7 linked regions of the Kluyveromyces lactis genome follow. The protein of the gene in region 5 interacts with the protein of the main gene of each other region in a biochemical or structural test. Links are inferred from orthologs where the notes say so. Each region holds a gene or a part of one and is shown on either strand. Other genes may lie near its edges. The genes, in order: ORC5, PSF2, SLD2, SLD5, MCM2, ORC1 and ORC6.

What was found.
Region 1: the proteins of MCM2 (region 5) and ORC5 form a complex in vitro, tested with the Saccharomyces cerevisiae proteins (2 studies listed by BioGRID). The link is inferred for Kluyveromyces lactis from reciprocal best matches to the Saccharomyces cerevisiae genes MCM2 and ORC5.
Region 2: the proteins of MCM2 (region 5) and PSF2 form a complex in vitro, tested with the Saccharomyces cerevisiae proteins (2 studies listed by BioGRID). The link is inferred for Kluyveromyces lactis from reciprocal best matches to the Saccharomyces cerevisiae genes MCM2 and PSF2.
Region 3: the proteins of MCM2 (region 5) and SLD2 form a complex in vitro, tested with the Saccharomyces cerevisiae proteins (3 studies listed by BioGRID). The link is inferred for Kluyveromyces lactis from reciprocal best matches to the Saccharomyces cerevisiae genes MCM2 and SLD2.
Region 4: the proteins of MCM2 (region 5) and SLD5 form a complex in vitro, tested with the Saccharomyces cerevisiae proteins (2 studies listed by BioGRID). The link is inferred for Kluyveromyces lactis from reciprocal best matches to the Saccharomyces cerevisiae genes MCM2 and SLD5.
Region 6: the proteins of MCM2 (region 5) and ORC1 form a complex in vitro, tested with the Saccharomyces cerevisiae proteins (2 studies listed by BioGRID). The link is inferred for Kluyveromyces lactis from reciprocal best matches to the Saccharomyces cerevisiae genes MCM2 and ORC1.
Region 7: the proteins of MCM2 (region 5) and ORC6 form a complex in vitro, tested with the Saccharomyces cerevisiae proteins (3 studies listed by BioGRID). The link is inferred for Kluyveromyces lactis from reciprocal best matches to the Saccharomyces cerevisiae genes MCM2 and ORC6.

What each region holds. Positions count from the first base shown.
Region 1 is NC_006039.1:234,398-238,948, reverse strand, and holds ORC5 (origin recognition complex subunit 5), read right to left. Parts: upstream 2,908-4,551; coding exon 1,486-2,907; downstream 1-1,485. Other genes in the region: ribosome biosynthesis protein LTO1, read left to right, coding at 1-254; U5 snRNP complex subunit LIN1, read right to left, coding at 317-1,294; POL2 (DNA polymerase epsilon catalytic subunit), read right to left, coding at 3,118-4,551. UniProt on the Saccharomyces cerevisiae protein: Component of the origin recognition complex (ORC) that binds origins of replication. It has a role in both chromosomal replication and mating type transcriptional silencing. Binds to the ARS consensus sequence (ACS) of origins of replication.
Region 2 is NC_006040.1:557,639-561,319, reverse strand, and holds PSF2 (DNA replication protein PSF2), read left to right. Parts: upstream 1-2,116; coding exon 2,117-2,722; downstream 2,723-3,681. Other genes in the region: ARG2 (acetyl-CoA:L-glutamate N-acetyltransferase), read right to left, coding at 136-1,794. UniProt on the Saccharomyces cerevisiae protein: Functions as part of the GINS complex which plays an essential role in the initiation of DNA replication by binding to DNA replication origins and facilitating the assembly of the DNA replication machinery.
Region 3 is NC_006042.1:1,276,839-1,281,062, reverse strand, and holds SLD2 (Sld2p), read left to right. Parts: upstream 1-1,616; coding exon 1,617-2,819; downstream 2,820-4,224. Other genes in the region: CTF13 (Ctf13p), read right to left, coding at 377-1,546; snoRNA-binding rRNA-processing protein UTP15, read right to left, coding at 2,969-4,224. UniProt on the Saccharomyces cerevisiae protein: Has a role in the initiation of DNA replication. Required at S-phase checkpoint. Also required for the proper activation of RAD53 in response to DNA damage and replication blocks.
Region 4 is NC_006042.1:1,023,055-1,027,157, reverse strand, and holds SLD5 (DNA replication protein SLD5), read right to left. Parts: upstream 2,181-4,103; coding exon 1,302-2,180; downstream 1-1,301. Other genes in the region: serine/threonine/tyrosine protein kinase RAD53, read left to right, coding at 1-1,029; PAC11 (dynein intermediate chain), read left to right, coding at 2,492-4,103. UniProt on the Saccharomyces cerevisiae protein: Required for DNA replication. Functions as part of the GINS complex which plays an essential role in the initiation of DNA replication by binding to DNA replication origins and facilitating the assembly of the DNA replication machinery.
Region 5 is NC_006042.1:1,164,712-1,169,983, forward strand, and holds MCM2 (MCM DNA helicase complex subunit MCM2), read right to left. Parts: upstream 3,633-5,272; coding exon 999-3,632; downstream 1-998. Other genes in the region: NCL1 (tRNA (cytosine-C5-)-methyltransferase), read left to right, coding at 1-769; KLLA0_F12606g (uncharacterized protein), read left to right, coding at 4,369-5,272. UniProt on the Saccharomyces cerevisiae protein: Acts as a component of the MCM2-7 complex (MCM complex) which is the putative replicative helicase essential for 'once per cell cycle' DNA replication initiation and elongation in eukaryotic cells.
Region 6 is NC_006038.1:453,197-458,649, reverse strand, and holds ORC1 (origin recognition complex subunit 1), read right to left. Parts: upstream 3,934-5,453; coding exon 1,273-3,933; downstream 1-1,272. Other genes in the region: Ras family GTPase TEM1, read left to right, coding at 371-1,042; ECM7 (Ecm7p), read left to right, coding at 4,406-5,453. UniProt on the Saccharomyces cerevisiae protein: Component of the origin recognition complex (ORC) that binds origins of replication. It has a role in both chromosomal replication and mating type transcriptional silencing. Binds to the ARS consensus sequence (ACS) of origins of replication.
Region 7 is NC_006042.1:2,245,370-2,249,657, forward strand, and holds ORC6 (origin recognition complex subunit 6), read right to left. Parts: upstream 2,548-4,288; coding exon 1,297-2,547; downstream 1-1,296. Other genes in the region: NMA111 (Nma111p), read right to left, coding at 1-1,037; histone methyltransferase SET1, read left to right, coding at 2,892-4,288.

The sequences.
Region 1 (4,551 bases), on a different chromosome or scaffold from region 5:
TCCAGATGGATAATAATCAGGAAAATGTGGCCATATATGAGAAAAGTATATTCAAGATACGGAACAAATTTAGGTTGGTGCTAATGAGTTTACACAAAAACATTTCATCAATTGATTCTTCATCTGATAGATTAACGTTAGAAAAGATAGAAAGTTTGTCAAGAGAGATAGCTGGAAAACTTCATGGTTACACGGAAGACGATTCGGGGAGCAATAATGAAACTATGATGCAAGACCAAACCACGGATTGGTAACCTAGAGCGGTTGTACTCAGATCTGGCAATTTTTTTTGGCGTTAGTCATCTGGTACGCTTAATTACATAAAGTAAATACAATCAACATGATACCAATGGTCAGTTTCATCAGTGTCACATTTTCTCTTTACCACAACACTACTGTTGAAGTATTTTTCCTTCCAGGTTTGCATTTCGTAGTTTGAAAATGATTCATGAGCCGTTTCAAAGTCTGCAAACCATTTGAAGACCCAGTTTTTACTTTCAACGTCGTCAATTGTTGATCCCATGAGATTTTCTTCATCATATAACTCCCTTATTCCTTCTTTCTGCAATTGCATGGGATTGTCTATACCCTTCTGTTCCAGCACATTTACTAAAGTTAGAATGATCTGTATTGCGTTCGCAATGTATTTTGTACGTTCCTTATGTTCTTTTGGTAAACTTTTCCGTAGTTGTTGAAGCAAAATCAATGCTTCTTGAATTGTCTTCCCTCTCGGTACAAAATAGTACAATTGTTCGAGAACTTCTTCTAGTCTGTATAACATCCTAGCCCTCTTCTTCCGTTGTAGAGTTTGGCTATTTTCATGAGCTTCTCTTGCCCTTTTAATTGACTCCTTCGAAGAAAAGTCTTGGATCCATTGGTCCTCATTTTCAAAATCATCATTTATAGTTTTTCCCGTAGCATTCCCTACCTTGTCTACGGTCCCATTTTTCAGTTCTTCTTCCATGTTGAAGGCTTCTATTTGTACGTTACTACCATTTATTTCTTCTTCTGATACTGAATCATCAGCAACAGCGCTGTCAGATTCTGAAATCTCTGAGGAATTTCCATCAAAGATTTCATCGGTTTCGGTTTGACCTCTTCGTACGAAATCTTCTATTTCTTCTTCATTATCGCTACTGTCGTCGCTGCAAGAAATGTCCTGGTAGTCTGATTCCTCGAAGTGATCGTCATAGCTATCTGCGTTGAAGTCAGTCTTTTTGACCTGAAGCTTATCCTTAGATTTGGTAATTACAGATCTATCATTTTGATCAGATGATCCCTTATTTACATTCATACTCAATGAAAGCTGCTGCTTTCTGCTTGCTGGTATGTCAAATATCTGAATCTATGGTTGTTTCTCTCTACGTATCAATTTCAATGTCTATAAAAAATACCTAAATTTGAAGAAGCATTCCATAGAGTAAAATGAGATCGAAAAAAAAAGAACGGCATGCAACAATCATATAACTACTACAAATGCCGAGTTTATTCCACAACATCACTGAAATATTCTGAAATATCAAAATCAACACTGCCAGCCACTAGTAATATGTAATCCCAAGTGACGTTAACTTTAAACTTAAGTCTTTCGTGAAGATACCCCAATTTGTGCATGTTCAGACCGGTAAGAAGTTGAGAAGTAATCAATTCGGACACGTTTTCGTAGACTTCCACATTTGCTTTCATATGAACATCTCTTTGAAAGAAATCTGGAGACAATTCCTTCGAAACTCTGACTGGGTATATCGATTGGAAAATTGCCAGCATTCTCTCAAGAGAAAAGCCTGATGGTTGAAGGTATCTCGGGTTATTCGCTGGTTTGCTTCTTCTCCCATAAGATGATCTACCCCCCCTTAGATGACTCTTCTTGGAGAAGACTTTAGAGTCGTACCGATGATTCAAATATGATGCCAAATATGCGGCTATTAGAAGATATTTTGCCATGAAACAAAGAGAATGGCTTGAATAACCAACAGACCCGGTACCACTTAGTGAATTTTGATCCGAACGGCTGGTTTGTGGTATTAGTCTTTCGTTAGGTTTATTGAATAGCTCCAGGTTAGATTTGTATAACTGTACTGTATTTTTAATGTTCTCTTGATTTAAAGATCGTACAAAGCACCTCCATTTAATTCTCATTATGTCTATCAGTGCAGTGGGGTCATAACCTGTATATACAATTAATGATTCTATCAGGAAATGGATATATTTTTCGAAGATTTCACTCCTGAATTGTTCTGTATTTCCGCATCCTATCTCATCCATTTTTTCCAATAACAGCGGGTCATCCGAGAAACCTGGTGTTTGTGATACAATATATTCAATCTCCAGTGGTTTATATTTGGGGAAGAAGATCGTGGGAACCTTGAACGTTGAGTAATTGGACAAGAATGAGGATTTGGAGAACGAGATTATTAACCGAAGTTGAATCATCGCTTGTGGAAGAATAGATCCAGGTAATGCCATGAGTTGCGTAGGTGTTTCCAAGTTCACCTGTGAATTATCATCCAGCCCATCGAGTATAACATAAAGGTTAACGCGTTCTACCAAGTGATTAAATCGGATAAACAATTTATTGATAAATTTCTGCAAAAGATATACGTCCTCGGCTTCAAATGGATCAAGATCAGTGGTTTCCACACTAGGAAATTGTTTCAGTAGCAATTGACGCAGACATGTAGCCAACCGCTGACAGGTGGATTTGCTATATATCAGATCTTTCGCTGGTAGTAAAATGTTCATGATTTCTTCATTGCAAGCAAAAAACTTCTTGAGGGTATGTGTCTTACCACTTCCATGCGGCCCTTCTATGAACAAGATTGGCGGGCTCAGTTTTGGATCGGCATCGACAAACGCTTCCAAAAAATCTAGTTGTTCTTCTCTATATCTAACATCAGGTCGTACCATTCTGGGTCACTTGATTCGCAGTAAATAACACATAGTGCGTCTTCATTCAGGTGGGAAGAATTCAACCATGCTAAGTTCAGAACAATTTCCTTTATGTGTATATATATTTTTTATTTTCAGATCTATTTTAACACATAAACACTCATAAATGTTAAATGTAAACACATCAGCAGACTAAAAGATAATACAACAGATGCCAGGGACTTGAACCTATAAGAAATCATTCAAAGTTTCTTTCAATGTTCTAAAGTCAAAGCTTTCCGCCAAGTTCTTGAAAATTTGTAACTGTGCCATGAAAGATTCCTTAGATACGGCAAGTTCCCATTTTCCTGAACATGGACAATAAGGTGACATTGCATCCTCTTTGATCTTATGACATTTATTGCACTTAACATCTTGGGTAATAAACGATGCAACTTGGGCTTGAAGTCGTTCGATCACATGCTCTTCAATGAGATTTTTATTCAAGGATCTGTTGCAGCTCTGGCATATGAAGACTCGTTCCATACTTTCTCTGCAAATATCAATATCTGATATATAAGAACAATGCTCACATATGAAGCTAGGGATCACAAAAGATGTACTTGGATCCTTGAATTCAGCTAATCTGTCGAATTCGCGTATTTCAAATGTCTTTAGGAGTTCTTTCCTTAGCGCCCTTCCTTCTAATAAATGATTACTGGAAAGTGATAAAATATGTGATAAGTATTTGACCAACTCAAGAAGCGGATTTTTCACAACTAGATGCGACCCAGGAATTGTGGGAGATAGATAATCCTTGCCGAAGTTAGGATCAAGAATATATTCCTGTTGGTTCTTGTAAAGTTTCTCTGCTCTTTTGATGAGAGCTTTTGAAAAATTATGGGTAAAACCGCCTAGAGAGTCAGTTTGACTATCTACGTCACTATCAGCCAGTGTATTCTTTGGTAATTGGGTTAATCTTTGTGTGGATGCATTTCGCTCATGATAGGCTTCCTTTGTCTTAACCATACTATCCAGTATGACTACTAACCAATCATCAAACTCTTGCTGATAAATTGCAGGTAAGAAATCCTTTATATGCCAATGAGAATAAGCCTGGAAACTCTGAACTTCTTTATCTTCAATCTGTAGACATGCTCTACCACCATAATTATACTTATCCATCCAAATCAGGACATCCCAATATCTATCAATTTTCAAGTCTAGATAGGCAAACATTGGTTTAGATCTGATCGCTTTCATGAGATACTGCCCATAGGCGTAAGAATTCTCAACGGAACGCTTCTGAGTTTTGATTAACAGTTTGTTTCTGTCTGCGAAGATGAGAGATGATCCTGCCAGCTTAAATTCATTGATCAACTGTAACACGGCCTTTTGAGTGAGAGTATGGATGTGATATCTCAAAGCATAATCGAATAATTTCGCGTCAGGGTTATACACCCATCCTATAAATGCGTGTACTAATGAGTCAGCCGTGATATTATCACCTAAGGCATCATCCCAAAGCTCTTTCAACAGTGCGCGAAGCACTGACAAGGCCGAAGAAGAGAAAGAATCTTCAACAAAACCGAAGGATTCTTCCTTAGATGTCGAATTTTGGGCAAGGTCTGTACCTTCAGCCTCGTTCAACATGGTGCTGCTCAAAACAGTGTTCACAACAGA
Region 2 (3,681 bases), on a different chromosome or scaffold from region 5:
GTCATCAATCAAAATTAATGTGTGACAAGGACTTTTTCTTTATTTTCTAATCTGTCCAATGAACAAAAGGTGTTGAAATGTCTTCAAAATGATAAATAAACTAATTTATGTACATGTAAATTGGCATAAGTTTGATCATTTATGCCAACTTGGAGTAATATCCCTGACGTATTTAGCGTAGTCTCTCAATCTTTCGACGTTATGGAATGACTCGCTTTCCGGATTCCCATAATAGAACAATTTGAAAATACTCTGCTTCTGATCATCATTACCTAGGTCTAAAGATAAATGAAGCACTCCGGTACTTCTTTGGAAGTACCATTTATTTACTACGTTGTCTTCACGAGATCTCCAAATTAGTTCGTGTGGGAACTTGCGAAACATCAGATTGAAAATGATATCAGATATTCCGAGAGAGCCCTTTAATTTTTGTGCTACCGCAAATTTGTCCAAATATACGAATTGCTTGTCCTTTGGCCCTTCGTATGTCAAAATTGCAATACCTTCATAATCTCCTATTACGATTATGCTCGCTATGTTACCATTGATCCTGCCGAGATAATGTGATAGGTCCAATGACCTTTTAAAACTTGAATTGATTATCCCATTCAGTTTATTCAAATCGAGTTTTTTCGATACTGGGTCAGATTTGCCAGTTTGAGTAGCTTGCGATGGTGGTAGACCTATGGAATTATCATCGGTCAAAGTCCTGAAGTCAAATATATGGATATCAATCCCCTTCTTGAAAACTGTAGTCACAAGAACTGAATCGTTTGCGGAAGTGACTTCCTCTTCCACGTTGGAAGATGGAAGCTCATACCAGCTTTTCGATTGAGCCGCAGCCGATCTTTTGAATCGAGGTAAAGATGACGATATCAATGAACGATCAGTCAAGATATTATATACCAATGGGTTATTATCTGATAATTTGGACCCTGCTAAAATAGTGGTAATTAGCCCAGTAGACGAATGTGGTAGAACTGATAGCGTTTTATTCATGATTTCAAGGTCTTCCATATGACATTTCAGTTGATCGCTGTTACTAAGAATCTTATCCTGATTCAAAAATAATTGTAGAGATTCTACCAAATTCTTCTCAGTATTATCCACTTGAATAGATTCTAGTTTCTCCAATTGATTTTGATAACTGTTTCTCAATTCTCGATATTCTTGTGACAAATTTACAAAGACATGGCTGTTTGTATGTCTTTCCACAGACGGCAATCCACCATACTTGCTGATAAGGAACACCTTGTCGATATTTATGGGCAAGTTACTCACTAGAGATGATAAGAATCGAGATGGATCGCCAGCCAATTTCTTAAAAGCTTCCTTCTCATGGTACTGATATGGCTCAATAATCGGAATAATATGCGGGTTCAAAATCGGAAGTTTTACGTCAATTGAGCCACGTTCACCGATGGTAATGGGATCTAATACGATTATTGACTTCAGACTCTGATCATGCAAATGATTGTCCAAACGCTGACTTTGGTATGATATGTCTTGGCATAGCGGGTCTACTATTAAAATTGGTCTTAGTCCGAGTGTTTGAATTCTTGACACAGTCTTGCTAAACCCACTAAGTACGTTATCTGAATATTCGGACAAATGTCTCAAAAATACAAGACAGTAGTGATGATTATTCTCATCGGTATATTTGTTCAAATAGTCTTTCGCTTCCCTTTTAGTCACTGTAGAATTCAAAACGCTCATAACCAAACTCCTGCCATGAGCATTAGGTTGATGGTATCTGACCTCTGTGGTCAAACACCTAATCCATGTTTTGATCATAGCACTAGCCCACAAAATGTGCCTTTGGACGTTATATGATGAGATCAAACCATTTATCTGCAAATATGGAAAGTGTATAAAACCATCATTTATTCTAGTTTTATCAATGAGTCAAGTCATCAGAGAAAACTGCCAGTTTAAAGCTTTAGTTAGTCTTTCCTGTTTTTGTTTTTCCTGTGCTGGATTTCAATGTCAAGATTGAACATGGAAAAATAATTGAAGCACAGATATCGATTGGTCATAGTCGCGCATTGAAAGCACTATGTAAGGAAGTAGTGAGCTTGAGGACACTATAGATTAGCAACTCCAACCTGAAATAGAGATGGCACTACCGAGAGATCTATCAATAGGATTTTCTCCCCAAGAGATACAGTTTTTAATTGAAAATGAACCGACACGAATTATGCCCAGAATCACTACGAGGAAGACCAAAAAACAGCTCGCGAAGGATCCTGGCGCCCAATGGTCACTGATCACATGCGATGATTCTACGGTAAATAACATGGTTGCAATGAATAGTTGCGAAGTCACGTTATGGCTGGCTTTACTGTTAAAACAACAGGGAAAGTGTAACGTCGTGGTACCCAGTTGGCTGACGTTACAACAGCTGGAGAAGTATTTAGATTTTGAATTGAAAAACCCATCACGATTCTCCAATCTACCCTGGAATTGGCTAGTGGTATCGTCACTGCTGTTTGCCAGATGCAGCGATGATTTTCAGGATCCAGTTCATCTACTGAGATCTAAGGTCCAAGATCTGCGAGAAGTTCGTTTGGGAAAAGTCAACAAGGGTTTGCAGTACCTGAACGAATCGCATTTACAGCTAGAGAACTTGTCCTTGATGGAAATCAATGAGATGAGACCCTATGCGTGTGGTATCATGGACAAACTGAGGACAATTCATGACTCCAGTAATGACACCACGTGATCAATAATATAATAACCTTTTCCCATTGAATCCAAAATTCCATTCACGAGGTTTCCACCAGTCCCTCCCCTTAATCCAACCTACATGGTTATATGATAACACAGTTGACCATAATCACTAGAAAAGGTCGGGTTACCATGTAAGTACAGGCCTATCAAATAACACATATATTACATACCCTACATGTACCCGCTTCACAGTTTGTAGTAATTCGAAACAACTGATCCATCCCGAACATTCACGCACTGCTTAGTTCTTATTTACGTTTGTGTCGCAAACATGCCTCGCGGGCATGCCTTGCGTGTGCACCCCACGTTCTTGCTTCATCATATTTGTTGTTCTTCAGGCTATTTCGGTTCCTTGCATTGAACTACGGGTATAACTTACAGAAAACGACACAAGGGGGGAACACAAACACGGAAACGAATCACGTTTCTTCAATATTACGTTGGGAAAAGAATTTACCGTAGATAGAAAACAATAACAGTAGAAATTGAGCAGGATGAACTCATAGAGAGCAGCATGGTTGCGTTGATAACTTCCCGCTACGAAGACATTTTACCCGTAACTCTGTGTACCATGTCATAAATACAGCTCAGCATGTTTATAATATATATATATATATCTTTAGGTATATAATAAACCCCGGAAGAGAACAGAGTTGGAAACTCGGGAAATAAAACAAGTGACCTTTGATTCAGTTTATTTGCTCTGTATATAACATGATATTTATAGTAGTTTTTGCTTCCATGGCCATTCTATTTTAGATAGAGTAACCAGCTGAATCCAGTGTTTATCTAGCTAGTTGTTAAAGGAACACGGAATTTTAAAAAAAATAAAAAATAAAGGGTTCTCATTCCTGTGCGTTATCTTTGTTTTTATTTTAGATTTGGGATCTGTCGGCTTTTTTAGCGGGTTTAAAATCTAAAGGGTGGTTAAAGGGACGAAAACAAGTTCAA
Region 3 (4,224 bases), about 110 kb from region 5:
GACGATTTGTCAATTATGTTATCCCCGCTAACCATGTTTTTCCTTCATTTAACACCGTTATTATTCTCGAATAATGAGTACGTCAAGCACCCCCTTTTAATGACCCCTTCCAACGATTCCAATGACAATAATGTTTTAACGACACAATAATTTACCTTTATTACCCACCGATTTTTTTTATTATTATTATTATTATTATTATTATTAGTATTCACGGTCCTCCAATCTCGTTTGATGAAATGAATGACACGAAATTACTCTCCCTATCTATATTCATTATATTGCTCTTATTTATAAGTCTATATGTACATTTGTTCTCTGTTTCTCTCGCGCTAATGAATTGACATATTTATCGTACACATTGGACACAATTCTCTTATATCAGTAAAACAGAATCTACCTTAGTCCCATTAGAAATCTTTATTCTAGATTCGGTTACTAAACGAGCAGGTAATATTAGATTTCCTTTAACTCGCTTGGCGTTGTGCAGTTCTATGAAATTCAGAGGTTGGTATGTTTGTACCACTTCTAAATAAAGGTTATACCATTCTGATTCCTCTTCTTCTTCTTTCTTCGTGGGTTTTTTCACCTGACCATTTATAATCCATTGAGGCCTGATTCGTTTCAACAGATGAGACAGGTCCCACCATATGATATACTTCACTTCTTTTAATATCAACATCTTGCAATGTTGTGGTAAAATAAGGTTATTGAGGTCTATGAATTCGCAACCTGATAAGGAAAGACATTGAAGTTGTTCCCATTTTTGTAAATCAACAACAGATTTGTACCCCAAATCCCTCAACGTATACAGCTCTAATTCGAATATATTTTGTCGGACATTGTATACTATTGTCTTACCAGGGTTCTCTCGAACTCCTTGAGTATTAATCAGGTTATTAAACATGTTCTTCGATTCAATGCGAAGCATGTGCAAGTTATTGAACGACTCCATGCATGGAATGATAGAAACGACGTTCTCATGATCTAAATCCCAGCAATTGATGAAACTAATATATGAAACTGTATCAAATAGCCAGCGGTGTTGTATCTCTTTGCATAATTCATTGACATCATTGATATCACTGACGTTAATTCCTAACCTCAAATCTTGTTGTGCAATACTCAAAAGATGGCAATACTCGTTAATGGTATAACTCACCTGTAGAAACTGCTCATCTGTAGTGAATATTCCTATTTCAAGCTCACCTGACACTACGATCCATTGGACACTAAACCATTGTTCCTCATATTGTAAACAAACCCGCAGTCGATCAGTAAGTATTATGTCATGTCGAAGCAAATCGAAGTCTCGGCACCAATTGGGAATGAAATTTGGTATATAGTCATATACACCAATATGTTTAGAGTACTTATCCACCAGAGATTGATTGAACTCCCTTATATTAGGATAGGCAATAAGCTCATCGTTAAAGATATCTGATTTAGCAGGTGGTCTTACATTTTGCACAACGTCGCCCAAAAAGAAGTAAACAGTATACCGTATATCGATTGGTAAACTGAGGAACAGCTTGGTATCAAACATTCCATCTCATGTGCCCTGATTGACCTGTGATCGTGAATCTTTTGCAGCTCATTTCTCTTTATTCTTCTTCATGGGAAACTTCAATAATTTACGCGTTTTAATTTCGTTCTTTGCCTTTATTCTAACGACCTTTATGAATGGAATAAAAGAGACAGATACAGTAAATGCACCGTTGTTACTCGTGATATCAAGCGCTAGTATGGATGCTCTTAAGATTGAGATCAAGCTGTGGGAGCGTGCTTTCGAGAAAGAGCATGGAAGGCTTCCTGAGAAAGATGATATAAAAAAGGATAAAGAGGTCAAGAGAAAGTATAAACAGTATGCACAGCTCAAGAAGGATGCTACTGTTAAACCATCGGTGGAGGTTAACGTAGAGCAAACACCAGTGAAGTCGCATGTGAATAACACAAAGGCTGAATTCGGACCGACTCCTCAAATGAATGGGAAATTAGTTAGTATATTTGAGATGCAAGTGTCTGCCATGAAAACTCACCAGTCGGATCAAGAAGATATAGTTGGCTCGCCAGTAAGATCAAATGACCTGGTAAGGCGCCAATTGAACTTCTCAATAACGCCGAACTCTTCTCCAATGAAGCAAGTTCCAAATCTATCTGCGAATATTGTTGTGTCAAGACCGAAATATGGACCAAACTCCCCAATGCGGATCGGCGATATTGGATTGCAGTTGTCAGAAACACCAAAGACGCTTGGTAGAACCCTGGATTTGAAAAGTTCTCCCTTCAGCCCATCGCCGCTGATTAAAAGGCCGGTGAAGACACTGTCCCAATTAGCGAAGGAACATGCCATTATAAAAGACGAATTCGAATCTAACCCAGAAGATTTCAGCGAATTCACTGCGATTAGAACGCTTATGGAAAAGCTGATGCAGGAAGAACATATGGATATAATTGAAGAGGGGGACGAGGGAACTGTCGGCAATGAAACTGAGAGCAATTATGTGCGGAAAGTTAAAACCATAAAGAAAAGAACAAAAGCGAAGATGAGACCAGCAGCATTAAACGAGAAGTCGACCAACATTCCAGACAAAAATGTTCATGAACAGCTAGCAAAGTTGAAGGAACGTGAGTACAATAAAATGCTGGGTAAAGAAGTGGAAGAAAGTGAGTCTGACTCTGAACAACAATCCAATCCACCCGTAAAGAAGAAGCAACGTAAGAGTAAATACAACCTTGTTAGCAACAACTTCAAGCGTTTGAATCTTCCAACAAAGGCAGGAAGAAACAGAGCCAGTAAATGGAGAGGAAGAAGGTGATTTCTTCAAAGTCAGAACGTTAAAAACAAAGAAACAGACGTAACGAACGGGATGATACAGTTGTTGCAGTCTATGTACTATAAATGTAAATAAATATAATCTTTTACACGCATTCCTTTTTGTTATAGATCAGTGTAGAAAGGATTTTATCAGTTTGTTAACAATTGGAGCATACCCTCTATCTTTTGTGCTTCTTTTGCTTTGCGGATCTCTTCCCTTACTCTTTTCTTTAGAGTGATTACCATCTCTTCAAGTACTGGGGACTTCTCCAGTACACTACCGTAGAGTTCAATTACAACCGCAATCCAGTCTGCAACAATTGGTGCACTTCTAACATCTTCTATTCCCTTCAAGCACCAGTTGAGTAGTGGTTCTAGAGAACTTTCGTCTCTACCGTATAATGCAACCTTGATTTTACCTCTTTTCCTTAGTTCTTGTAATACCGTTAAAGTTAATTCTTTAGCCATACCGGGGATAAATGCAGAATCTAATGCGTCAGACCATTTGAATTGGTTGATATGCCTTTCGAATTGACGCAACTTACGCTGAGGATTTGGCTTATCGTTGTGTATAATATGCTCTTGATCACCTCTGTATTCGGACCCTCTCATCATTCTCTGGAAATTGTTGGATTTCGCAGACTTCTCTTGCTGTTGTAATGGTAAATCCTCCAAATCAGAGACATCAGCGAGGTTAATCTTTTTGGACTTCTTCTTCGTCTTGATGGCTAGAATTCCTGAGGATAAACCTGCAACGAAATGTTTATTACCTTGCGCATCGCCTGGTGAGACTGCACAACTTAGCACAGCGTTGCTAAACTTCCAGCCAAACTTGAATTGGAAGTTCTCCAACGGGGAAAAGATCTTAACATGACCATCAAGCGAGGATGCAACTAGTACGGAACTCATTGGTGATTCTTCTCCCATATTTGTGTAATTCAAACAGGTGACCGTCTTTGCGAAATTTTGACGTTCACAAAGGGCTCTATCGCTAGTCAAGTCCCATACTTTGAACCCGTTACCACCACACGATGCAAGCTGAGTAGGAGATATGGCTGTGATATCTTCCACAGGAAGACCGTGATCCAAAGTTGTCTGTGGTTTATCTGATTTCGTTCTAATATCGTACAATCTAACTACTCCATCGTACGACCCTGTAGCGACCATATGTGGAGCATTTGGCACAAAGCAGACTGATCTAACATAATCAGATGCTCCAGTTAACTGTAAAGTGGGTTCATAAGCATGAGAAACATCCCATAGTCTCACTACTCTATCGTCGTTTGCCGTCACCAAAGTCTTGTTATCCTGATCGTGAAACTTCGTCACATGCGTAGGATGCGACGAAGCTTGTATAGAAAGCAACAAAGTACGTGGATTATAACTATCATAAACGGACACTAACC
Region 4 (4,103 bases), about 140 kb from region 5:
CAATCCTTGTCCCAGCAACAATTTGTTGACAGTATGAATGAGGCTGAATACGAATCATACATTGCGAAAAAGAGGTTAGAGATTATCAAGAAAGAAATAACGGCGCCTGCTGCAGAAACTAATAAAGAGCCTGTATTCAAAAAACCACAAATTGCACCATCTAAAATTGCACAATCCCAAAACTTGCAGTTTAACTTTTCAAATCCTAATACTGGTAAAGCTATTAATGTTAATTATAAATCTGGTGAAGAAGGACTTTCAAACAATAAGAACAAAAAGATCAATAGACCACTTACAAAGGTCAATGGGGAGGGGCTATTTCTCACTTTGCATTCCTTACCTGGCTCATCTATTTCAGGTAAGGTCCAAGTAAAACAAGGGATAAATCCATTCTTCATCGGTAGGTCAGACGAATGCAACTGTAAAATTGATGATAATCGTTTATCTAGGATACATTGCTTCATATTGAAGAAAAGACACGCTGTCGGTGACAGTATTTATGAATCTCCAGCTCAAGGTCTTGATGATGTATGGTATTGCCAAAGTGGTACTAACTCAAGCTATGTTAATGGAAAGAAAATCACTCCGGGCACAAAGATCTTACTTCATGATGGCGATGAAATCCAAATTATATGGGATAAAATCAATGATGTCACTGTTTCTTTCCAGCTTGAGTTCAATGATACCACTGGTTTGTTCCACGAGGGGAAGCTGGATACCAATGAGAAAACAAACAAGACACTTCTACATAAACAGACACAGGAGGAGTTAGCTTTAGTCCCTAAGTTTATGGAATTTATGAAGTCTAGATCATCACAACATGCCAAATCTAATATAAACCAGTCCTCTTCCAGTAACATAGATGCCAACTCGCAAAATATCGAGGAATTAGATTCTGTCGTTGAGATGAACTCGACTACAGGATTGAAAAGAATACATTCAGTGTCGTTATCTCAATCTCAACCGCAGACAACCAAAAGGGCTAAGCTTGCCCAAGCCCAGAAACCAGATATTGAAGGATTTCTCTGAGCTGATCATATGCTTGCCGGATGGGTTTTGCATACAGTAAATATGAAAAATAGGTACACTTTGAGTATGCTAGATAGACTTTTCAACGTTAATTGATGTAATACTAATACAAATTGGTTCAAAAGCACTATAGACCAGCAGTCAATAACACTAGGTAGAAAACATGCTGTGTTCGCAATAACATTGTTGAGAAATTATTGCTGGCAAACATTCGTTACAAACCTATATTTTTCGAAGAGTCATAGGTTCAGTAATACTGTTCAGAATTTTCATTATATTAAAACTACTCGTCCCTCAGTCATGAGATCTCGTATTACACTATAACGTATTACGTATACTGCCCCGATTAATAAGTAAATTTCTTCATTTAAATCTTCAATAATCACTGAGTAACAGTGTTTTCCATCATCATCGGTCGTTAATTTCGAATCAATACCACTTTCGTCAACTACCCCACCACAAACTAGTATAAATACAGTTTTATTCCAATCGGGTTCATCAATCATACTGATGGAACCCTCAGTATCGTTAACGGCTTGCAGTTCTTCTGGTAAGTGCTTAAGTACTGCGTTGTTAAACAGTTTTAGTAATATGTCAGAATGCTTCATATGGTACTTCACCTCTTCTTTGGACATCAATAAATCTAGTCTGCTGAGGCCCGCATTATTGGGTAGTTCGGATTGTTGTCTTAGGTAAATGCTGTATTTGTCAATTTTGCTTAACCGGCATCTGATGAAAGATCGAACTAGGAACTTCAATCTCTCAAGTTCTGCTTCCATGCATAAAAGTGGTAGCTTTGAATCGACAGTTAACTCTTGATTATCTTCTAAGTATCCCATTGATAGTGTTTCTATTAGTTCAATTCTTTCTTGAATCCTTATTAATGTCCTAGTCATGAGATGATGTGGATATGGAAGCAGCTCCGGACTCATACGTTCATTCTTCCAATGTGTAATTAGCTTTTGATAGTCGTCAATTTTGTTAAACTGTGTGGGAGCCACAGGGTCAACCGCCTTATCTGCTGGTCTTATCTGAGAGACATCATTGCCTTGAGTTCGATCGCTTTGGTCTGGGTATGAAGAAGCATTTTGTTCAACAGCTGTAGTGTCCCTATCCAGCTCAGCTAGAATGTCGTCAATATCAATGCTCATTGTACTAAAGAAATATGATCCTACCACCAGGACTCAAAGCGGAGGAAGTGTTCGGATAGTACACCGGGGTGGCTTTTATAATTGCTGTAAAGGTGTATTCAGACAAGAAGGACTTACTTGCAATGTGTTATCCTCCAACCTATTGTGAAATTCATCCAACTTACTGTAACATCGTATTTTTGATAATACTCAAATCTTATTTATCATCTTTTGTTTACGCTTAACAAATCCATACATGAAGCAAGATAAAACGCGTCAGTGAAGAAGCGCTCATCAGCAACACCAACCTCAGGGGGAATATACCCAGAAATATGGACAAGAATGAGCGCTTACAGTTGATGAAGCAGAAAATAGAGGCTCTTCAGCTGCAAAGGAAAAAAATTGATTCGAAACATGAAGAGATAGCAGATTGTACCCTTCCGTTCATTTCCCATATCACCAATTCCATAAATAACAACGAATCTGAAGTCAAGAAAGAAGTAAAAACTGTTGAGATCTCAGTGCAAACAGATGATGTAAATGAGTTTGAATTGAGCGCTGTTAAGGAGGCTGTGATAACATATGATATCGGAATACAGACAGATGAATATGACGGGAAACATGAAATTATGGAAGATGGACATCTACCTTCCCAAGATCTTATAGAACAGCAAGCATCGACTTCAGATATTACAGAGACCAAGGAGGATAAAGAAGTTGTTGAAAAGGATGTGTTTGATTTCGGAAATGTCGTTTCAGCGGAAGACTACGCAACGTTGAAGAAAGAAACATTTTCACTACAGGAGACTATAGAAGCGGCTGCGCTCAAGTCATCTTCTCATCAAATCGCTGGTGATGGGAAAATAAGCATGTATTTATCAATTTCACCAAAAGTTGCCATTGATTCAACTTCTGAAGCAAGGGTCATTTCCAGTGACGTCTTAGATAATTTACTGGTTACTGTGATTCATCTTGTAACCAAATACGTGAAAAGCTCTTTAGTTCAAATCACACACGTCTCTTCTGGTGAGGTACTTGATACAGTTTTATTCCAAGGTCAGAATGTTGTACGGAGCAAGTTTATTGATAATCCTAATTCTAAGATTACCTCCGTCGTTCTTTCTTGCTATACAGGAAAACTCATCTTATATGAACTGCGAACAGTCAAAATAAATAATAGCTTTCAGGTGGAAAGAAATATTGTTTCCACTAATTATCATCACTATCCGGTACTTTCAATTATAATTCCAAAATTCAATGACCATAGCATCCTGGCGGCCAGCACCAATGGCCAACTTAAGCTGATATCAACCTTAGATTTATCATTAAAAGAGGATGACGATGTCAAAATTATTCCTATCCCAAGGACGGACTTATCATATTCTACTGAACAGACTAAAAAAGATAACAAGTATTACCAACACCTATTGATAATGTCGCTTTATGACGAACTGAGCATAATTAGTATGCTACTGCTGCCATCTGATCCTTCTTCCATATATCTTGGTTGCGAGGATGGCTTTATTTACAAAGTGTGTCAATTACCTCTAAAAGGTGATAACAAAGGGTGTTACAAAATTAGTGAAGGAAACAATGGTTTCATACCAAACTTCACCTCAAATGTGGATGATGCTTCTCTATTCCACGAAGGTCCAATTACTGGTATGGTCGCTTGTGCTGGCATTGATGATCTTTTCTTCTCTTACTCCATTGATGGTGATTGTATTTTTTGGGACGCGGTCAGCAATTCAAGAGTAAGTGTTATAGAGTGCGATGATGCGATAATAAAAGCTCAGTGGATTAACGAAAATGGCTCTTTCTATGTTGCTCTATTAACGAGTTTCACATTTCAAATCAAATCCTTAAGATTTAGTAGAGATACTCAAAACAATTGGCAGTTAAATGAAGACGAAACTTCCAAAGATATTGTCATACTACCGTCTG
Region 5 (5,272 bases):
TGCCTCTCACATTCAAAAGAAGGAAAAACTACCTCGTGATGCCAATGAAGAACCATTTGTGTTCGTGGATCCAAACCATCCAGCATTAGCCAAATGTTGGGAGTTCTACGGTATTGATGACAAATTTGATAAGTCCACTTGTTTGGTTCGTAACGCTACTGGTGAACCAACTAGAACTATCTACCACGTCGCTACTCCATTGAAACAATTGATTGTAAACAATGAAGATAGACTAAAGATTGTTTACTCCGGTGTAAAACTGTTTGTTTCCCAAAGGTCAGACATTGATTGTGCTTGGAGAATTCAATCCGAATCCTTACCAATCATGAAACAACATATGAACTCTGCCAGAATCGTCCCAGGTAACATGGAAATTCTAAAGAAGTTGTTAACTGAAGCTTTCCCAAGATACGAAGACTTAACAGCGGACAACGTCGATCCAGAATTCATTTCCAAGACTCAAAAACTGAGTGCAGGATGCACTTTCATTAAAGTCGATAGAAATGATCCATCCAAGGAAGATTTGTTTTTACCAGTTTGGAACGGATCAAAATGTATCAACTTGATGGTTTGTAAAGAAGATGTTCACGAATTGTTGTACAGAATTTTCGGCATCGAAACAACCAGCAAACAAAATCCAAAGGCTGATCATATGGCCAAGAAGGCCCAAGAAGCAGCTGACGCATCAGCTAACTCTTCGAAGGAAGAGACTTCTGAGAAAGAAGAAGTACCTGCTGTAACTGTCACTGAAACATCCACGGCTGAATAAGTTTCTTCACTCCACATTATCAGTTATAGACTTCTACATGAAATTATAAAAGCGGTATTCCTTTGAAGGTTGAAGTAATCATTATTTAAGTCTATTAGTTACAAATTTGTATATTATGCTAATATAAGCGATGTAGTACTGCATCTATAATGGAAAAAATGGGAACGGTATATTGTTGTTCTGAGCTTATAGAATTGTTTTCTTCCGTTGGAAATGTTGAATCTTGATTTCACATTGTTCCCATAGTATAAACAGCGAAAGATCTTTGTAGTTGGCGACGTACACTAATCTTTTGTGCACCCACAAAACTGTCCACTGTTACTTTAATTGCTCTGTCTAAATCCCATGAGGAAACGAATTCTGATAATCTCATTTTCGCGAAGGCTTCAGCAATTCTTAAGATAGATTCCAAATGACGAACGGTGATCGGGAATGAACCAGTAGTGACACTCTCTCGTCTCAAATCAGCATAAACCCTACTCACTTTGTCCATATCCATTTGATGTAACTTAGGGTAAACTTTAGTTCTTGCGTAATGAATATACTTCATTAGCATATGCTGAGATATGGGCGAAATTTCTTCTTCTCTTTTACGAAGGTTCTGCAAGCGTCTTTGTTTGGCAGATAACGGAGTTTCTTCATCACCCTCCCCATTAGGATTTTCCGTTGGAACGTTACCATCATCAAAATCATCCAGATCCTTGTCTGGATGAGACCTGATATGTGAATCAACGACGAAAGATGCTAGCCGATTATCACTTTCTTCATCAACCAAATCTCTTACCACGCAGAGGATATCGAATCTTGACAAAATTGGTTCAGTCAAATTGACATTTTGTGATAACGGAAGAGTAGAGTTGTAACGACCACCGATCGGGTTGGCGGCAGCTAAAATAGAGCATCTGGCTTGTAACGTGGTAACGATACCTGCCTTAGAGATGGATATACTTTGCTGTTCCATTGCTTCGTGAATAGAAGTACGATCCTGATCGTTCATCTTATCGAATTCATCAATCAAACAAACACCCTTATCCGCAAGCACTAACGCACCACCTTCAAGAGTCCACTCTTTAGTTATTTGGTCCTTCCTGACAGAAGCTGTCAAACCGACTGCAGAAGCACCTTGACCTGTAGCGAAGACAGCTCTGTTGGCAGTTTTTTCCACGTATTTCAAAATTTGGGACTTGGCAGTACCTGGATCACCGAGAAGTAGAATGTTTATGTCACCACGGATGGAATGCTTACCGTTAATGTTTTTAGGAACACCTCCGAATAAAGAACATGCAATTGCTGTCTTGATATCCCTGTGCCCATAAATAGATGGAGCCATTGATGAAATGATTTTATCGATGATTCCTCTGTCACGAGACATCTTTCTGAATTCACGCTCTTCGTCTTCTGTCCAACTGAAGGCATCCAGCCCTTCGTGTTCATCACCATCATGCAATCCGCCTTCTCTTCTCTTCACTGAATTGGCTTCCAGTACTGTTGCGAAAACGGGGAACCCGTTCTTTGCATTCAAATTACCGTCATATGTGTTCTTATAGATTCCTGTCACTTCGACTTCTTCACCAGGTTTTGCGATATCAACCAAGTCCCACAACAAAATGACTTCTCTGTGACGTGGTAATCTACCGGCTGGAACAGACCCTGGTGATTCTTGGATGGTGATTCTTTGGTAATTACGGTACAGAGTTTTTTCCATATTAATTCTGAAGGGACCCTTAGATCTACAATTTGTGCAGAACGAGATTTTAATTTCTTCATTTGAATCCTGATAGTAAGGCCCAAGTGTGGCACCACATTTCAAACAGTTGAATTTAACGTATTTAAGTTGTGGGAAGACACCAGTTCTTCTTGTCACGACACCACTAACTCTAACTAAAGAATTCAAATGAGTTTCACGTAAAGCACGTAAGTTCAATATACTAGGGAAATCCGAGATTCTTACGTGAATTTCCGAGTGAATACGAGTATAATCGGGATAGTGTAGTTGTGTAGCTTCCATAGCCACTGTATCAAATATTTTCAACATTTCTTCGGGAGATTTGGCTAAAAATAGGGCTAGAATGGCCTTGGATTCTACCAAATGTCTATAATTAACTTCCAAGGATTCAGAGTTCATTTCACCGAGAGTTCTGATACGAGCACCGTAAACGGATTTACCTGACTCATCAGTATATTCAAGCAAAAACGATTTCAACTCTCTGGCAATAGTACGTGATACATTCGGTTGAGTGATCCATTCAGAATAACTTGATGCCTTCACATCTGCCAAAGATTCCAACGAGAGCTCATCTGCCAACGGATCTATATCCATATCTGATAACAAATCATCATCTGCTTCTTCGTATTGACGTCTTCTACGTCTCCTCTGTACTGGAAGACCCATAGCATCCAAATTATGCGCACCAGCTCCTTCGCCATCATCATCATCAAGGTATGCTGTGTTCCTATGCACCAAACGATCTCTCTCGTTCAATTGTGCATCGATTCTTCTACGCTCAGCGAGCGACAACTCTTGCTGCTCCTGGTCGTCGACTCCTCTTCTTTCATACGTATCATGTTCTGTGTTTGAAGCGTAATCACGGTACATATCATCACCCATCAAATCGACTTCATTCATTCTTTCTTCCACATCTTCAAGATCCTCTTGAACATTGACAGCTTCATCTCCATCGTTATCTGGATTCTCAAAATCTATCTCATCTGGAGATCCAAGCGGGTCTTCAAACTGTGGAGAACTAGGGATGTTAGCGCCACCTTCACGGGGTTGTGTAGACAAAGAATCATCCTCATCCTCATCATCATCAGCTCTTCTTCTTCTCCTCCTTCCGTTATTTATTTCATCATTATCAGACATCTTGAAACACTTTCAAAAACAGCAATTAATAATCTTCAATTATCGCACTACCAAATCCGATCACACAATTGTCTTCCTGATGCTTCGATGACCTACTTGTTACACTTTGTTTCAGACCATTGGGATCTAAAGCTATCTTAAGATCTTAACGTTTTTTCCGGCTTTTTTCTTCAGTTGAATGTACGAAAATGATCTTTAATTGAAACAATAACATTTCCTAAAATGGTGTTTTGCAACGATCTGACCATTGTAGAGCGTTGGGGCTAATAATACAGCAATGGCAATATTCCAATAACACCAATCGGTAGTTCTCACCTCTTTTAGCTTTGCAATCTACATTTGATTAGTATAATTTCTTTATTATGATGCGTGGATCACGTGATAATCACATGGGATCATACGCTTAAAAACCGTACTTATAGCTCCAATCACACGATGAAGCAACACAATTGCAGGTAAAGTATGGATGTTGAAGCTCTGGAATGATGTGATGCATTTTGTGCCCCATATTAGATCGATTTCCATCCGGTAACCGTCCAAATGTGTCGATATTGACGTAAAATCATACGGAATATTGATTCATCGACATGGAAAATCTCTTACTATCAATGAAATATCCCCAAATTTAAACATAAGGAACACGTCAAGTTAAAGGCAAAAAGGGTACCTTCATTCACGCATTTCTTACTACAAGGTGAGTTCTGGCACTTAAAGATAGTCTTGTTGGTGTTAGGGAATGAGCGAGATTAGCGTTAAAGAATATGTGAAGCGACAGGAGGAACTGGAAGATGAAGCAAATAAACTGATGCCATATGATCCAAGCCATTGCACTTATTCCATGGGCCCAATTCGACAGCCAATATTCGCATGTCGTACTTGCAACAGTATAGGAGTGTGCTATTCATGCTCTATTCAGTGTCACAGTACCTGTGACTTGGTGGAACTTTTCGATAAGAGGAATTTCAGTTGCGATTGCGGTACAGAAAGGCAGTTTGAACACGGTGAGAAGTTCACACCTTGTAATATAAGAAAGAATACTACACCAGATATACCAGACATGAGTAACAGGTATGGCCAGAATTTCAAAGGGTTATTTTGCTCTTGCCATAGAGAGTATGACCCGAATACAACGACAACGATGTTACAATGCGTCCTTGGCTTGGAGTGCAATGAGGACTGGTTTCATGATCACTGCATTCTAGGGATAGAAGAAAACCCAGACCCGGTTACAGAAGACAGAAAGCTACCAGGATTCCCTGAACTGTCAAGTTTCGAAGGATTTATCTCATGGGTTTGTATTGACAAGTACAGCTCGATATTTGAAAAGCTTTTATCACACGAAGCGTGTGATAAAATCATAGCACATAAAGTGTACAGGAGAGATCTGGTATCGGATCAGAACTCCGAGGGAATGACATTGGAAAGTACCAAGAAAAGAGGGCTAGAAGAAATGGAAAACTCTTCGGGTTCATATTCATTATTCTTGAAAGAAGGATATAGGGAAGAATTTAAACGATTAAGGGATTCACTTCCAGAAGGTGACTCCTTGAAAAGCTTTTTCATGCACACAGCACCATTCCTCACTTGTGAAGAGAAAGTTTATGAACCCCCGGAGGAACAAGAGCAAGGATCTCTTGTAG
Region 6 (5,453 bases), on a different chromosome or scaffold from region 5:
CATGACAGCAGTAAACAAAGTTCCTATTTAGCAAAATATCTTACTGTTATGAAATTTGAAGATACACACAGTATGTATGGATGTAAAACTTATGAATACAATGGTGTCCGGATGTCAAAGCAACACGTGACCGCGAACAACAGTCCCAATGTTGTCATTTTCCATTTCTCATGCTACCATGATTTAAAGGTAAATAATGAGAATCTACACACATATCGGTATGCTCCATAACGACACATAGAAACATACAAATACGTGCTGATATCCAAGTTCAATTGTATCTTTTAAAACATCCTGTGTGCTACAGATATATACACACACAGAGCAGTGAGACAAGTCTACAGATAACACTCTTTTTTTTTTCGTTGCAATGTCTCTGGATAAAGATCGAGTACCGAGCCTTAGACACCAGGTCAAGGTGAAAGTTGGCCTGATAGGTGATGCACAAGTTGGAAAGACTTCTTTAATGGTCAAATACGTACAAAATGTGTTTGATGAGGAATATACGCAGACATTGGGGGTGCATTACCTCGAGCGGAAAGTGGTGCTGGGATCCACAGACGTTATATTCTCCATAATGGATCTTGGAGGTCAACGTGAATTTATCAATATGCTCCCTTTAGTATCCGAAGGTGCAGTTGCAATAGTATTTCTTTTCGATTTGACGCGGCCAGAGACTTTAAATTCGATAAAAGAATGGTACAGACAAGCAAGGGGGTTCAATGATACAGCAATTTCAATTCTGGTTGGAACTAAATATGACCTTTTCGTCGATATGGACCCCGAATATCAAGAAAATGTATCTAGAACTGCGATGAAATACGCTCAAGTTATGAAATCGCCTCTGATATTTTGCTCGACCCAATCATCAATCAACGTACAGAAAATATTTAAGGTCGTGATTGCAAAAGCTTTCAATCTAACTCTGAAAGTACCGGAATATAAACAGATCGGCGAGCCCTTACTGATATACAAATCATTCGGTCCTTCGCGACCTTCTTCTCCAAAAAGACAAGTGCATACCCCTCCGCCATCATCGTAAATCACCTACCTCCTATTACGTGATCAACGGTTTCATCTTGCCCGAAGCGGGAGGGTAAAGAATGAATAAACACGGTAAAATAGTAGTTAAAAAAATGCATCCTTTATTATATCTTTCTATCTTATAATTAAATAGTTGAAAAAGCAGTTTCATATTCTACTTAACCGCTACGCTACATGACAACCTAAGTAGCAATTATAATAGCAGCAAAGGCGTCTTGAAGGCATATACTAAAATGTCTTCAACATTTCATCTTCATGCAAGCATTGCTCCGCATCTTCCATGGAAATATTTAATTTGATCGTCGAGAGCCTCTCATTCTTCAAATATTGCCTTACTACAACACCTGCATCCAATAATTGCAATAAAATATAGTCCCAAGACACGGCCCTTAACTGTTCCTTTGTATCAACAGAATCATTTTGGAATAAAATCCGTTTCAACTCTAAAATGTATTTGTTATTCCCATTGACATCAATGAGGAGCCTCATTTCTTCTACGATATCACCAAGTTGTACGTCAGTTTGCTTCTTCTTAATTAAATTGATTAATGCGTATAGGAAAAGTTTTCCGCTAAATGACAGACCAGATATGAATTGTTGTTCCGGAGAGGTCGAACTTTCGTTTAATGCCTTGGTAATATGCTTAATTTCTACACTCTGTAATTCTTCATTTCCTGTACCATTGCCACTAGTATCTTTTTTGGAATTGACTAGTCGCTCATATCTAAGCCTCTTTAAGTAATCATTTTCCGCATATTCTACCGCTCTTTTGACCACCTTTAAAGCTCTCCGCACATCACCACTGACACTAGCAATTTTTCTTGATGCAATCTCAATGGCATCAGGATTAATCCTAAGTTTTAGTCGTTTATAGTTAGAGAAGTCTTTTCGCTTTTCTTCTTCATCAGTTTCTATAGTACTACTATCCGGAGAGATCATGTACGAACTCCCTGTCTCCGGGTCGACATAGAAACTAGATTCGTTCAAATATTTAAGTCTCAAATTGATGATTGTTCTAAGCTCTTCATGCGTGTAACCAGTGAACATAATTCTAGTAAAACCAATTCTGGACGAAATCTTGTTACCAAGATGGCGTTCGGGGAGATCTAAGGTGTTTGCGACAGCTACAACAATAAGTTTCGCATTTGAATAGGTAGCCCAGTTAAAGAAGTTGTACATTACATCTTGGCTCTTGCTAACTAATGCATCAAGCTCATCCAATAACACAACGATAGGACGTTTTTTCGTAGCTGGAACTTTGTTAAAATAAAACTCCAGAGATTCCATGGCAGCTCCAGATGTAAGCTTTTCTCCAGATATTTTTTGCCAAAAGACTTCATAACTATCACTTGCTTTGACAATCTTTAAACCATTGATTTCAATGTATTGGAATCTTGGAAGTTCTTTTTGGTCTGCAGATGTCATTAAATCCTTAACTACCTCTCGAACCGTCAAAGTTTTACCAACGCCTGGCGTCCCGGCAATGTAAATACTGGTGCTAGTGCCTGCTTCAATTGCACTGTAAAGTGAGAGGTATATACTTGCAAATTCATTTTCTCTTGCCGGAAGATAATTGTCGAAATCAGCAGCTTTGACAATTTCTTCTTTGCTATTCCTTGAGTTCAATTGCTTCTTCACCTTAGAAAAAATAGTCTCCATTTTGCCTTTAGCAGAAACTGTTCTGAATCTCTCCTCTAATGCAGCTATATCCAAATCATTATTATGCCTTTGGAAAATATCGTTCAAGTCAGGAATATCCTTCGGATTCTTATACCGTTTGGAAAATGGAGTATATGCCTTTTTAGCGCGCACTATATTATTCTTAAAGAACTTTCTAGGAGATGAATGAACTGCTGATGGCTGCAATGGAGTCTGTGATTTTACTGGTGAAATGGGTATATCTGGTTTAATAGATCTCACCTTTTTCTTGGCAGGTTCTACAATTGCAAGCTCTTCTGCAGACTGGTAATCTTCAAACTCTTCATCACTGTCCGAAGAGGATGCGTTTGCAAACTCTTCTTTACTTTCGTGATATTCAGATAAATCCGATTCATTATCTGATATAGCTTCCTTTTCGTTAACAATAGTAGATGCAATGCGTTGGACTTCAGCGTTGGTTTTGCTCACTGTTTGTTGAAAGCTTTTTTTGCTTGGTGTGTTGTCGGACTGCAATTTCGTCGCCACTACCTTCTCTCGTGCGTGGACCTTGGATTTATTTAAAGGTTTTGGAAGCTTGGGTAAAGTAATATCACGCAAATACTCCAGAGACACCTTAGGATTCGAGGAACGTATTTTTTCTTCAAAGAAATGTATATCTAAATCCGCCAGATTAGTTCCTGAAGGCAAGCATGCAGATCGACATAAAAACATATTAGAATCCATTTTCCCTTCATTGACAGAGTCTAAATACTCCTTTTCATTTTTAATATTAGCTACAAATTGCAAGTCCCGTAGATAAATCTCTGAAAGCTCAGCTGTCAAATACAATTCGTTCTTTATCGATTGTGACGCGAAGGTTTCCTCAAAAAATTTGTCACCTTTTTCCTTATTAGTCTCATAAAACTCTCCATCAAGCTGTTTATATCTTTCCGCAGCATTGATCTCGTACCAACTCAAATAGTTCAAACACCAGAGTTCTACGTAATTGCTTGTATTCAATCGCACCTCATGGATCATATACGCTGATAACTCGTCTGCACCCTCTACCTTGCACACAATCGTAACACCAGGATAAAGTCTGACTCCATCGTATCGTACCAAATTAATCACTTCATGTTCTGTAGCATCTCCTCTTCTTCTTCGCCTAGGAGTTTCAGCAATGAGATTCCCCTTCAAGTCTGTCTTCTGTATTTCCCATTGAACTTCAAACTCAGCTAACGTTGACGCCATGCCTAATAAACTCGCTACCACGGAATAAAAAGGAAAAATAATCAGATAACCGTTAAAATGCAGTAATTCCTTCCTAAACTAGTAGTAGTTACTTGCTGGCCAAGTATGTTGAAATGACAGCTACCTGTTTCCGTAGCATTCTTTTATCTCATAGCATATTGGTTGTTACACGGTTCCTCTGTTTACTGAATTAAGATCGATCTTGAAACATCAAATACGTGTAAAATGATACATAGTTTTCCCATTCCTGACGTCTAATTTTAAACCTTGAACCCTGGCAGAAACAGATCAAGAGATTTATCTCAAGAGTGATGACATGATAAACAGAATGAATTCTGCCAGTCAATTAACGAAGGTGAAGCAGATAAACACAGAAGAATAAAGGCAGCTGGCCTGCTGGAAAAAAAATTGAACAATTTCCCACGTTGATAGAGTCATACATAAGAAGCTTTTAGGAGCTTTATAAAAAGAAATGAGGTTTGGAAGTGTCTTGGCGAGGAATATATCGTTATGGAAATACTTAAAAGTGACCCTAGGACACCTCAACGCATTTGATAAGATGATGTTATGGCTGCGAGTTATAACTTCAGTGGGAATTATCGTTTTTGTCCTTGTTTTGACTGCTATTTCTGCCGCATCACCAAATTCGTTATATTTAGGACGATTGGACACTTCAAATGTTAACATTTTGCAGGGACTATTTGATAAGCTCAGCAGTTCTGTTGTCAGTGCAAAACTGTCTGATATTAATAACGGAGCAGGACTCACAACAGCAGAGATTCTTTTACTCACGCGGTATGTAGACTCACAGGTCCACGACGTGCCCGATTATATAAAGACAGGAGTTTACGGATGGTGCAGCATGAAACATGCTTCTCAAGAATTATGGCAGCCTGACGGTACTTGGAAGGAGGAACATAACTCTACAAAGGCTATGACTTGTCACAGGGAAGGAGCGCAATACTTATTGAACTATAGAAAGCTATTAGATGACCTAGGTTTGGGAATAGTGTTAAGTTACGCATACGGATATACTTACAACGATGGTGTTTTGGATCACGACAATGCAGAAAGTGCAAAATACAACAAATTTTTGGCTGCTTTGTCGAGAAGAAAAGTCAACATGGTCAATCTACTTTACGTCGTGGCAGTATTGGAAGTTTTCATATTGGGATCGATTGTCTTGTACTACATGATCAGGAATAGACCTGAACAAACCATGAAAACCAAAATCCTCCTGCATTCTATATCACTAATGAAACTATTGGTGTTTATTTGCTCTTTAGTAGCAGTCATAAACTTTACTATACTATCAATCAACATTCGTCAAAAGATTTCGAACGAACTTGATTCGTTTGGGTTTTCATATCATCTTGGAACTGGTTGGTTCACATGCTTGTGGATCTTTGCATTTTTCAATATTATATCGTGTCTCGTCTGGACGGGTTTCGAGTGGTGCATCACGAATAATGATCCGCCAGTGCCAGCGGAAGAGACTTCATCCATGCTTGGCGTACATA
Region 7 (4,288 bases), about 1.1 Mb from region 5:
GTGCCATTAATAGAAATTAATGTGTCACCCTCTTGAACTTTATTATAAGCTGGTCCCTCTCTGAGAATAGCCTCAGCCACCAGCAAACCAGTTTTACCCGGGAACCTCTTACGAGCTTCCTTCTCACGATCTTCACTTAATCCAAGTCTTCTACATTCATCGAATGGTTTCAATACCCACTGAGTTTGGATAGTACCTCTGGTGATTGGTTTATCCGTTTGTACGCATTGTAGAGCTCTGACGACTCGATCAAGAGGCAAAAAGAAATCTGTAGAAGCCTCCGAAGAGCCACCGGCCTGTAAAGCGACCGCATACCCCTCTACAGTAATAACTGGAGAACCAGAAGAACCACCTGATGCAGCAGCAGCAGCTTGAATATATTCAGTATTAAAATCATTATACGTTAGCTCACCATAGTCTGGTGCATTTCTGTCAAGTCTACTGATGAACCCTGACAAGATACTCAATTTTTCACCAGCATCGTTACCAACAACACGGATTTCAGAACCAACCTTGGCCAAAGATGGTTTCAACTCTAGTGCAGTGACCTCGATATATTTCAACTTCGATGGATCAAACTTCAAGAACCCAAAATCATGAACTGGGTCGCGATAGATAGGGATGACATCACACTCTTCGTGATTGTCGAAAATGGCGTATCCGATGAATGGACCTGGACCCACAACGTGTCTGTTTGTTAAGATGATACCGAGTTTTGCATCAACAATGAAACCTGTTGCTTCCGACACCAAGGCAGCTTCTGAATCGAAAGGTGCGACTTGCGAGAAATGAATTGAGACCACCGACTTAACAACTTTGGAGATAGTTTCTTGCCATTTAGCGTTGTTATTGAATAAAGAGTTGCCTGAATCTATAGGTACATCGTTCACTTCATCATAGTCTTCTTCATAATCAATATCTTCGTCTACACTACTTGTGTTCTGATCGACGTCATTGTCGACCCTCTGTTTCTTGGATTCAAGATCAATGTCTTCAACAGATGATTCGAGTAGGTTTCGCTTCAACTCAACAGTCATTTCACCAGTTACTCGGTACGTACTTCGCAGTTGATTATTCGAAGAGTAATCCGATCTCCAGAGTTCTGACAGACGGTAATGTCTCTCTTCAATTCATCTCATCTGCGCTCTCTATGTTTAGTTATCTTCTTTTTTTTCATCTTGCCGTTCCCTTCGGTAAACGTCAACGTGAAAAATTCATTAGAAAGGTAATGAAAACGTATTGAATGATAAATGCGAAGATGGGGACGGTGAGAAGAAAGGTATCGGAGGAAACCATTCATGTGCCATCTCTTAGACTGAGGTCGACCATAATTCTTCGTTTCCAGTTTGAGTATTGCTCTTCTGATACGACTTCATATTCGTCTTGTAACATGCTGCCTATTCTGACGGCGATAGCGTTATCGAAATCCGATCCATCGTAATAATCGAACTTGACACGGAGTTCTCGGTACCATTTCTCACCGTCTATTAGTTCTTTTGTGATCTTGATAGCTTCCATGATATCTTCATCATTTGTTGTTCTCATTTGTGCCGCCATCTTCTTCATTAGCTTGTTATCGATTGTACTGTCCTGATTTCTCTGTTGGTTGAAGACAACGAACGAGCAAAGAAGTACCAGACCACAAACCAACTGTGTAGGATACGCTAGGTAAGTAGCGTTGTTATTGAATTCGGAAATTATGGTAGCTGTTACTTCTTCAGGAAGTTCAAATTCATTGCACAGAGTCACCAGTTCAGCGGTAGACGGTCTATAGTATTTTTTGTATAGCATGTTCCATTCGTTATACTTACCTCTTTTCTTTCTTGGTGAAGGCGTGTATTTAGAAGGGGAGTCACGAAAGGGTGACTGTCTTAATGGAGATTCAGGATCATCCTCAACTGATCCAAACACTTGTGGTATATTGATCATATCAGTCTTATTCTTCGGGGTTGCTAATATGGGCAACGGAAGGCCATTTTCTGTATCAGCTTCAAACACTAATTTCCTCCGGACACTTGACCTACTCCCTTTGCTAGGTGAAAGATCAACATTCTTCAAGGGCTGGATACCACTTTTAGTTCTTGATTTCGACGGAGTCTGGAATAGCTGTTCTTGTAACGACTTCGGATCTATCCCTGTGAATCTTGCATTTTTAACCGCTGACTTTCTAACCGATGGTGATGCAGTATCATCAAACTTCAGCAATTGTCCTTCGGTATCCTTTTGCGGCGAATGAGGCCATATGTTTCTCTTAAATATATTCACAAGTTTGGATACTTGGTCTGGTGGAAGCGGGATCTTCTCCTGAGAATATGGTAGGTCATTGTCATACTTCTCAGCTAGTTTCTGAAACGCAATCAGTGCACATATATGGCACCGAGCAAGTTCCTCTGAATTCTTCAGCATCACTTTCGATACTGAAACGTTGTATAATGTTGCTGTAGTAGAAGCCACTTTCTTTAACCGTTGGTCTTGCCAGTCAACATTAGAATCATTTTTGACCCCTAATAAATCGGTTACACACGTTCGTACTTGCTGCGTAGACATCTTAAATTATTTCCACGGATTCTTAGCACTCTAAAGTGACTAAAATAGGATCATCTACTCACTTGTTGTATTACACTGGCCCGGAAAAGACATATATCTCATCTCATCTCCATGGACCATTTTTAACATAATATTAAAAACAGTCTTTATGTAGCTTTTTGATCTTTTTCTGATTTTCTCGATTTTCTCCAATATTGAAACAAAATATGGTAAATAATGAAATTGAATATTAATCAAAAGTATCATTATTCGCTTCTCCATCTATAAGTTCAGTTTTGGCAATACTTCTAGTATTTCATCTAGCATAAGTTGCTATTCCAGCGTGTGTGTATATTTTAGTTCTCATGAGTGGGTACTATAATAGACAGTACTCTCATTTTCATGGGAATAATGATCGGTACCAAACCGGACGATATGCATATCAAGAAAATGGGAATAGGTACAAGGGCTTCCAACGGAATGGATCAGGGAACCGAAGATACTCCCGCGAGGGGTTTGGGTCTCAACTTAGGAATAATGAGAACGAATCTCGTCCAATACGGTCGCAGTCGCGTGGTATCAGCGAGATTCCTCGTAATCCCTTCGCAACGCGTCCAGTAGTGAGTGCGAAATACGATCGCGATGAGTTTAATACAAAATATCATTATTACGACATTGTAAGTAAACGACTACGAAATGAATCCAGCTTCAAGAAATGGAAATCTGAGAAGATTCCTGAGCATGGATATGTGACAACAACGGAGTTGATTGCATCGGATAAGCAAAAACCAATACTCATGGCCAGGCAGCCTGAACAAACTTCGGTGGATCCGAGAATACGTCCTATGAATGGGGATGCGGTCTCTGGGTCCATTTCTGCGAAAAAGAGATATAGAAAGCTTAGAAGTGCATTGGTACGCAACTCGCGAATTCCGTATGATTCTTTCTACATTGGTCCTGAACCTCCAAAAGAAATCATAGTATACCCTTCTGCATCTAACCAACAACCAATAGCAGCCGCATTATCTGAAGCAATAATCAAAAACTACTTTAAATCATTTGGTGAAATAGCGCATTTTGAACAGTTCATGGATCCAAATAGTGCATTGCCATTGTACGTCTATCTAATAAAATTCACTGGTCCAGTTTCTCAACCTGATGCTCCATATAAAGCTGCTTATAAGGCATCAGAGAAATTCAAAGACGCACCTTACACAGTATCAGGTATCAAGTTCAATGTCATTTTAAACCAAAATACAGTGTTAAATTCAATAAAGGACAAACTAATCAAACAGAACGCAGCCAGAGTGACAGAAGTGAATAAAGCGAAACGGGCCATTGCAGAGAAATCATCCGGGCAGAAACCTCAAGTAATAAGAGGAGTGCCATACGATTTAACTCAAGTTGTGAACAACAGACCAGTTTTGTTTGTTCCTGCAAAGATTACGTTTTATCATAGGTTCAATGCAGCAGATTTCAGATATCAACTTCGTAAGTACAATTGGGCCAAAATTATTGATCACTACACTGGCGTATATATTGTTTTTCATGATCTGGAAAATGCAAAAGCATGTTTAGAGTACGAATCAGGTGCCTTGGTCATAAATTCGCATAGGACTCACTCTCCCATACAAATAGAATTTACTTTCATTGAACCAAAGAGGAGACTTCAATCAAATATCACTAACCAAAGAGATATCAATAAACCTCGAAAGATAGAGTACTCAAGCACGGAAGAGCTATTAGAAGCCTCCACAAAACA